Struthio camelus: one gene and its partner. The protein of the gene in region 2 purifies or fractionates together with the protein of the main gene of each other region. This does not show direct contact. Links are inferred from orthologs where the notes say so. Each region holds a gene or a part of one and is shown on either strand. Other genes may lie near its edges. The genes, in order: PIAS1 and STAT1.

Evidence for each region.
Region 1: the proteins of STAT1 (region 2) and PIAS1 purify together in Homo sapiens (affinity purification with western blotting; 5 studies listed by BioGRID). This does not show direct contact. The link is inferred for Struthio camelus from reciprocal best matches to the Homo sapiens genes STAT1 and PIAS1.

Annotation. Positions count from the first base shown.
Region 1 is NC_090953.1:2,280,738-2,284,653, reverse strand, and holds the start of PIAS1 (E3 SUMO-protein ligase PIAS1), read left to right. Parts: upstream 1-1,210; 5' UTR 1,211-1,225; coding exon 1,226-1,288; intron 1,289-1,394; coding exon 1,395-1,839; intron 1,840-3,916. UniProt on the Homo sapiens protein: Functions as an E3-type small ubiquitin-like modifier (SUMO) ligase, stabilizing the interaction between UBE2I and the substrate, and as a SUMO-tethering factor. Catalyzes sumoylation of various proteins, such as CEBPB, MRE11, MTA1, PTK2 and PML.
Region 2 is NC_090947.1:14,437,849-14,441,764, forward strand, and holds the start of STAT1 (signal transducer and activator of transcription 1-alpha/beta), read left to right. Parts: upstream 1-1,496; 5' UTR 1,497-1,678; intron 1,679-2,623; exon of another isoform or gene 2,624-2,696; intron 2,697-3,680; 5' UTR 3,681-3,681; coding exon 3,682-3,809; intron 3,810-3,916. UniProt on the Homo sapiens protein: Signal transducer and transcription activator that mediates cellular responses to interferons (IFNs), cytokine KITLG/SCF and other cytokines and other growth factors.

The DNA of each region.
Region 1 (3,916 bases), on a different chromosome or scaffold from region 2:
TGGGTAATGTATGTGTCTGAATATTTCAAACAGTTTGGAGAACTGGAGAGGATAAGAGTATCTGTACTCTTTAATCTTAAAGATCATTTTTGCAAATGCAAGTGCTGGTTTGGATATTCAGCAAATAGAAAAGAGTAATCTTTAGACTGCTTTCAGTGGTTGGGAAGTTGCAGAACCTCGATATGCCTAATTGGTTATGTTGGTCCTATATATACGCTTCAAATATGATGTTGAATTTGTTTTGGAATTGACTATAAAATATTCAGAGTTTTTTAAATGGTTTTGTGCAGAAGTCCTAGATAACCAGTTGTGGTAGTGGGTAGGGGGCGTTTTATTTTTCTTTGACTGCTTGGGAATCCAAAACTGTACAGAAAGATCACTTCAGCTGATGTCACAGGCCTTGCAATGTTAAAAAAAAAGTCCCTGTCAAGCACTGAAAGAAGCTTTAAAAGAGACACTAGGCTCCTAAGTTGAATTTTTGGCCGCTATTTGACCAGTGGGGAAGTACTTTAGCGCACGCGGATGATTGCTGGTTTCACTGCTTTGCCTAGTTTTGTTTCCTCAGTTCCTCAAGAAGTGAAACAGCCTAGATGTCTTACAGTGTGATTCATTAGGCCATATTGGGAGACAGACCGTGTAGAAACACGTGGTAACTAATGGAAGGCAAAGCCCAACTCCCCCATCCGCAACAGGACAAGCAGCTGTGAAGTGAGAGAAGAGGGATGAGTAAGGAAATTGCTTAATTTATATTGGAGATTGGATCTGAAGAAGTTTCCTTTAACCCAGTAATGATCATATGGACTTGCAAAAAATCAGATTACAATTTTTCTAAGTGTCTTTAACATCAGTCACTTCTCTGCCTTCCTTTGAACCTGTGCTGACTGATTAGTTACACTGCCTGGCAAAAAGTGAGAGAGGGACTTGAAAGTGAAGTAGGGTGTCAGAGTGAAGGGTTGCTGCAGTTTTTAAGTGCAAGTACTGGAGACTTGGGTATTGTCAATGTGTAACTTTTTATTCCTCTAGCTGGAAGTCATAAAGCTTGTTAAATGTTGTAGGTGTTAGGGGAGCAGTGATTAGAACATTGGTACATTAAAAGCCTTATGTCTTGTACTGGCAACTTGTCCTTGTCTCAAATTTTTACCTCAGAATTGCTGTCCTGAATTACCTATTGCAAAAGAAATTCCTTTAAAAAATTGCTGATTAGACTTTCAAAGTCAATATATCTATGTGTGAACAAGTCCTGTTTTATGTTGTATTTCAGATCATCAGTGGGAGAAGAGCAGTAATGGTATGCCTTTAAAAATTGTATGCTCACCAGGATTAAGCCACATTCTGATGTTAGTGTGTAAGATGATGTAACTTGAATACTAATTTTTTGTTTTGTTTCTTTTAAGCAAATGGTTATGAGCCTTAGAGTTTCTGAACTGCAAGTACTTCTGGGTTACGCGGGGAGGAACAAGCACGGACGAAAACACGAACTTCTCACAAAAGCACTGCATTTATTAAAGGCTGGCTGCAGTCCCGCTGTACAAATGAAAATCAAAGAACTCTATAGGCGAAGGTTCCCTCAGAAAATCATGACGCCTGCAGACTTATCTATCCCCAGTGTACACTCAAGTTCCATGCCAGCAACTTTGTCTCCGTCTACCATTCCACAGCTCAGCTATGATGGCCACCCCGCAACATCACCATTGCTTCCCGTTTCACTTCTGGGACCTAAACATGAACTGGAACTCCCCCATCTTACATCTGCGCTCCACCCTGTCCATCCCGACATCAAACTTCAGAAATTACCTTTTTATGACTTGTTGGATGAGCTGATAAAACCTACAAGTCTAGGTAAGGCTGCAAACGTTGTAATAACAATATTTGAAAACTTTTTAGGAGTAATGGATGAATTCAGCTGCTAGTGTACTATCTGGTTAAATATTGCATCACGCCACTGTTTAGAGAATTGCTATTTTTGGTAACTTTTGGAACAGATTGTTCTACAACACATGGAGAGACATCTTACGTAACGCTCATTAGTTGCTCTAGCTGAGCTACTAAGTATGGTTCAAAGTTCCATTATGTTTAAGGGGTGAGTTTGACAAGAAACAAACTAAACCTTGGAAAAAAGAGAACTTAAAGAAAATATGAACTACTGAAAGCAGGCAGTTAAACTAAAGAATGTAATTAAAAAAAAACCCCAAACCCTAAGTCCATCAAACCCAAGAAATCTAGTTGTCTGTGCTGTGAAAGAATGTCAGACTAGGTATTTGCTGTGATCCCTTATGGTTCTAACATCTGAGTTTAGGAACACTTGTGGTTCTTCTACTGTTTTGACTGTTTTGGTTTTTTTTTCCTTTTAAACTCTTGTATTAACCTATAAAACACTTGTGTAGCTGCTGAGAATATTCTGACGCTTACTGAGCGTTATATAACAATGTGTGATTTTTCTGGCTCTGACTCCGCATAACACTTAAGAGTGTGGTTAACTTTTAATACTCTTAAATACAATAGTGTGGTAGATTTCTGGAGGGACTGCTTGCATGTTGGAACGTTCTGCTGTTTTGAAACCCTGGAAAAGAATCACTTTGAGAATAGCTAGTAGGGGGAGGAGGGTATTTGTAAGGGCAGATATGGAGGGATGGTGGGTGAGTGAGTGAGGAGACTGTGCTTTGTGAAAGAGAACACTCCTAAACAGCAACGAGCAGGTAATTTCTATTAATAGACTAGTCTGCTACAGGGATGAAGGAGAGGCGTGTGAGTAGCGGTCTGTAAACTTCTGAAGTGTGATCACCTGCACAGTTGTTTGCATATTTTTTGTTTTAACCTGTTAAAGTTGAGACGTTGAGAGAGAGAGCAGTTGATAATCTCTGGAATAAAATGAAGTGTCGCTTATGGTTCAGATACTCTTTTAAGAGGTATACTATATATATTTAGCTTTAGTCTAAAATCTAATTAATTAATAAGCATTCCAGGCGGTGCTGGCGGTGCAGGATAACTGGGTAGTCAGAATGTGTCTAATCACTTTTATATTATAAATACTCCAAAAAATAATGGTATAATTTCAATAAGACATTCCAATGAAGGAGTTACAGTATGCATTTATTCCTAGAAATGGTAAGAACACTTTACTGTCAGCTTCATGCCTGACAAACCAGTCGTAAATTAAGAGATCATAATTCACACTCTGTCATGCCTTATTGCTTAAGGAGTTTATATACAATATGGTATTTTTCCCCTTTGTGGGCTCTCAGAATGTCAGGGTAGGAAAATGGAAGAAGCTGAAATTCCAGCCAAGTACCTTTCAAGCACTGTCTGTCCTTTAAATTAATAACTTATGGGTATGTTTTGTGTTTTGGTTTGCATCTGCATCCTGTGCTGCCTTTTTGCCTTGCTTATCTGAGGCAGTACTACTGAAAAGTTATTTTTCCTAAGCTTGTTGGGGAAGAGAGAGCTTCAGTGTCTATGTGAGAAACAGTTGTGTTGGTTGCTTTTGGTAGTGGTTAAGTAATGTTGTTGCAGATTATAAAATTGCTAACTACAAATGTCATGAGGATATTTTTAAGTAATTAATGTATATGCTAATCAAAAAACCCCATTGGATTAAAACCCAGTGATATACAGTTTTATACACTTTCAAAACAACTTAAAGCAATTTTGCATACAGGTCAGCAGTTTTAAACGTAAATAATGTGGACTTGTATCTCTAATTACAGAATGCAAAAAAAGCTTTGTTTAAATTTCTCCATATATACAGTTACTGATGTTTTAACTAAAAACAACATTGAAGGTTTTGCTGAACATTTGCCTCAAATGGTTGGGATATCCTCCTCACTGCTGCAAACAATGTGGGCTTGGCATTTAAATGTCAAACTTCTGAGTCCTCTGCCTTTGTTTTCAAATGGTTGATGCATAGTACAAACCTTCT
Region 2 (3,916 bases):
AAGTCAGTATGAGTAAGATTAGGGCTCTAATAAAATAGAATGAGAAAATGTTGAAAATTACATTCTTGGATACTGACAGAAAAGATGAAACATGTGCTTTCAAGTGCTTTCACCATGTTTTGCAGCTGCAAAGTCAAAAACAACAGGAAAAAAAAATCACTAAGTGCTTTGTGTTTGACCACATCACCATGATTCAAGTTAAACGAAAACTGCTAGTTACCATCAACTATAGCATTAAAAATCTGTACACAGTACTTGGTACGATTTAAGACTTCATATCATTTCCTCCATTTTGAGGAGAAAGGGATCCAAACTAAGCCAGAAAAAGGTCTGCGCCGCTGGAGACCGGCGCCACAGCCTGAGCTGCGGTTGTAACCGGTCAGAAACAAACGAGACCCGGCACGACCGGGGGGAGCAGTGCAGTCCTAACAGACAAAACGGCTCGCACAGAGAGGGGCACGAGGAAAGGAAAACTGCCAAAACAATTCATTGGGGGGGGGGGAGGGGGGGAGAGCGGGGAATCCCAACCGGCAACATATCCGGAAAGATTATAAACACTCTTTTGTTTGCAGCTCTCATTCTTAAAAGTCACTGCAACTTAGATAGGAAACTGGGCTGCAGTTCATAAACTGACTGCCTTTCTACCAGACCTGTGCCAGTTACGTTCGTTTCTTCCACGAAGAGACGGACGAGACCGTTGCCCTTCCGCCGGCTCGGCCGGCCGCCCGCCGCCGCCGCCGCTCCTTTCGCTTTCGCCTTCCCCTCAGCCGGCCCGTTCCCCGAAATCACGTGACGCGGCTGTTCCCGGGCCTCGCTGCCCCCCCCCGCCGCGGGGAGCCGCGCCTGCGCTCTGGCGCGCGCCCGGCCGGGGGCCGTTGGTAACGGCCGCCCTCTCCCCCCCCCCCCCCAAGGAGGCGGATGCACACGCGTTCCGTGTCGGAACTTGGGTCGGGGTCAGTTTTACACTCTTTCCTCCTAGGACAGGGGCTGTCTTTTCCTACAGCCTGTTACTCCCGACACCTAACCTTCCTTCCTGTTGGCCACCTTTCCTGCAGTATCATTTGCTTCTCTTCCCCGTGTTATATTTACTCATGCGGGTTTCCGTAGGCATCGCGCACCTTTTCGTTCCTTGCTCCTAGCTGGCATATTCTCTCACATATATCCAGCTACGCTTCTAAACTTTTTTTTTTGTGCTAATATTCTTTGCAAAAGCTAGAAATCAAGAAAAATGCAGGCCTGTGCCCTAGAATGACGTTGCGCGCGGTATTTCTGCTTCATCTACTATTGGCAACGTCATTGCTGCTCCATCACACAGCAAGCGGTCGAAACCTCGGCGCATTTGGTGTTTGGCCCGCAGATTGGGCATAGTTCTGCACAGGTAGTCGGCTGGCCAGGCACCCGGACGACAGCCGTCAGGGCGGCAGCGCCCGGCCCGGCCCAGGCCGGGGTGGCGGGGGAGCCGCCCCGGGACCGCCCTGCCTCCCCGCTGCGAGAGCGAGAGGGCAAGGGCAGGGGGCGGGGCGGGGCGAGCGCGGCGGCACCGCGAGCCCATTGGCCGGGGCGGCGAAAGCGAGGCTCCCATTGGCTCTCGGGCGGGCCGTGGGGCTGCGGCTTTGCGAGTATTTCTCGGTACGGGTGGCCGTCGCGGTGCAGAGCTGGAGCGCAGCCTCGTCTTCGAGTAAGTGTGCGCGTGCGGGCCAACGGCCGCGGGGGAGGGGGGTCGCGCGAGAAGGGGGCTACTGCCGCCGCTGCCCCCCGGCCCGCGGTGGGGGGGGGGGATGGAGGGGGGTGCAGGCTCCCAGCCAGCCGGGACGGCTGCCCTGCGCTCGGCCCCCCATCTGCGAGCGCCTGCTTCGCTGGCCGTCAGCCGGAGAGCCAGAAACGATACTAAACATGAGTTGTGACAAGGCGAGCGCGGCGCCCGGCGAGGAGGGGGCGAAGCCCTGTCGCCTCGCAGCGGGAGCGGGCGGCTGCCGGCGGGACACGAAGCCGCACACAGCGGCGGGGGCTGCCGGGGAGACAGGGCCCTGCTGCCCGCAGAGAGGCACGCCGGCTGCCCTTGGGTCACCCTGACCGCCCCGGGGGAGGTGAAGCAGCAAAGCAGCCTTTCCTCCCTGCCAGTTTGCCAGGGCCGGCCTGAGCCCCCCTGCCCTGCCCTGCCACGGGTCTCGCTAACCGTTTCTCCCCGAGCGGTACCGACTTCCTCCCCGCGTGAGCGTTTCCCTGCTCGCCTCTCCAAGGATCACGCCTGCTACGTGATCACGTTGCTCTGTAACCCCCAATTCAGAGGGTTCTCCGCCAGGCTTCCCAAGCCCCTGTCCAATGTGGTTGCTTTAAGACACAGGAGGATTAGAGTACCTTATAGCAGTATTTAAGCAGTGCTTTTAAAAAGAAAGAAAGAAAAAAAACTTTGTGCATTTGGATACCCCCTTCCAGCTTTCCTCACCAGTATCATGCTTTAATTGTTGGCCTTGGTGCCACTACAGTATATTCAAATTAACTACAGTATATTCAAACTAACTGCTGTGTTTTCTAGAGTTGGAATCTTGCCCACACCAAAAAGCCCCAAAGCCCTTACTTTAAACATCATAGCATTTTTTACCTTACACTTGCTCTCGCATAGGCTATATGCAACTCTACAGTTGAGGGATCTGGCATACAAACACTAATGGATTTGGCAACAGCCCATACACAAGGTACTGCTTCACCCCCGAGTGTACATTGTCCTTTGGATAAGTCTTATCACCTTTTTGAAGAGGTTGCAGATGCAAGCGGGGTTACATGTCTCCACCTGAGCCTGACAGCTATTCCCTGGACATATCTTTACCTGCCACTACTGCAAGACACTAACCTGCAGACCAGAAAGGAGGAGATAACTGCTTTCCAGCAAGAGTCCATACATCAGAGCTAACAGCCACTCTATAACAACTCTTAACTGCGCAGCATGGCTTCTCTCAGTCATACTAGTTAATTCTAGATAACCCATGTCTACTGCAGAGACTTGAATTTAGCCTGAAAATCTGATCATAACTACTAAAGCATAATACAAAGAGAATATCTTTCAAATACGTCTCCATTTAAAGCAACCTGAGGTCTAGGCCATTTTCAGAGCAGGTAGGTAGAGACACATGTAGTACCTGAAAGTGAGCCCCTAGAAGTTTCTTTACTTTTCCAGTTACTTCTTCCACCTCTGGGGATTGGCAGGGACAATATCTGCACAGATGAAAATGGGATCTTGATCCTACCGAGTACAGGTACAGGGCACATAGCTGCTCATACATATTTAGGGATATACCCCCTTAACAGGGGGTAAGGAAGAAAGAAAGAATAGAGAATAACACTACTAGTACCCTAAGTGCTGTGAACATGGATTCAAAGGAAAAAAGAAATGCAAGTTTCCATAAAACGTGATTGAACTTTGACTTACTTGTCATGAAATAGTATGGTGACTGTCTTAATTTGCTGTATTTTTTTTAAATTAAAATGGGCATGGAAAAATTGTATTCAGTTTGATGAGTAGCTTTCTCTTGTTACATCTAAAAACCTATGTTTTTACTGAAAACACTTTTCCTTCCTGCTCATCCAATTTTACCATTTTTAATGAGAACTTTAAATGAGTGACTTTTCACTAGCTAAGTCCAAATATTAATTATTTACATTGATTTATTTTTTTTCCCTAGGATGACTCAGTGGTATCAGCTGCAGCAACTTGATTCCAAGTTTTTGGAGCAAGTTCACCAGCTGTATGATGACAGCTTTCCTATGGAAATTAGACAGTACCTAGCTCAGTGGCTGGAAAACCAAGACTGGTAAGCCTGAAGGACAGTGGTGATGTGCATAGAAACTGGCCTTCAGGTTACATGACAAGCAGTGCTCTCATGCGGAGTCACAGGCAGCAAAAAAGTTCTGGGGAAGC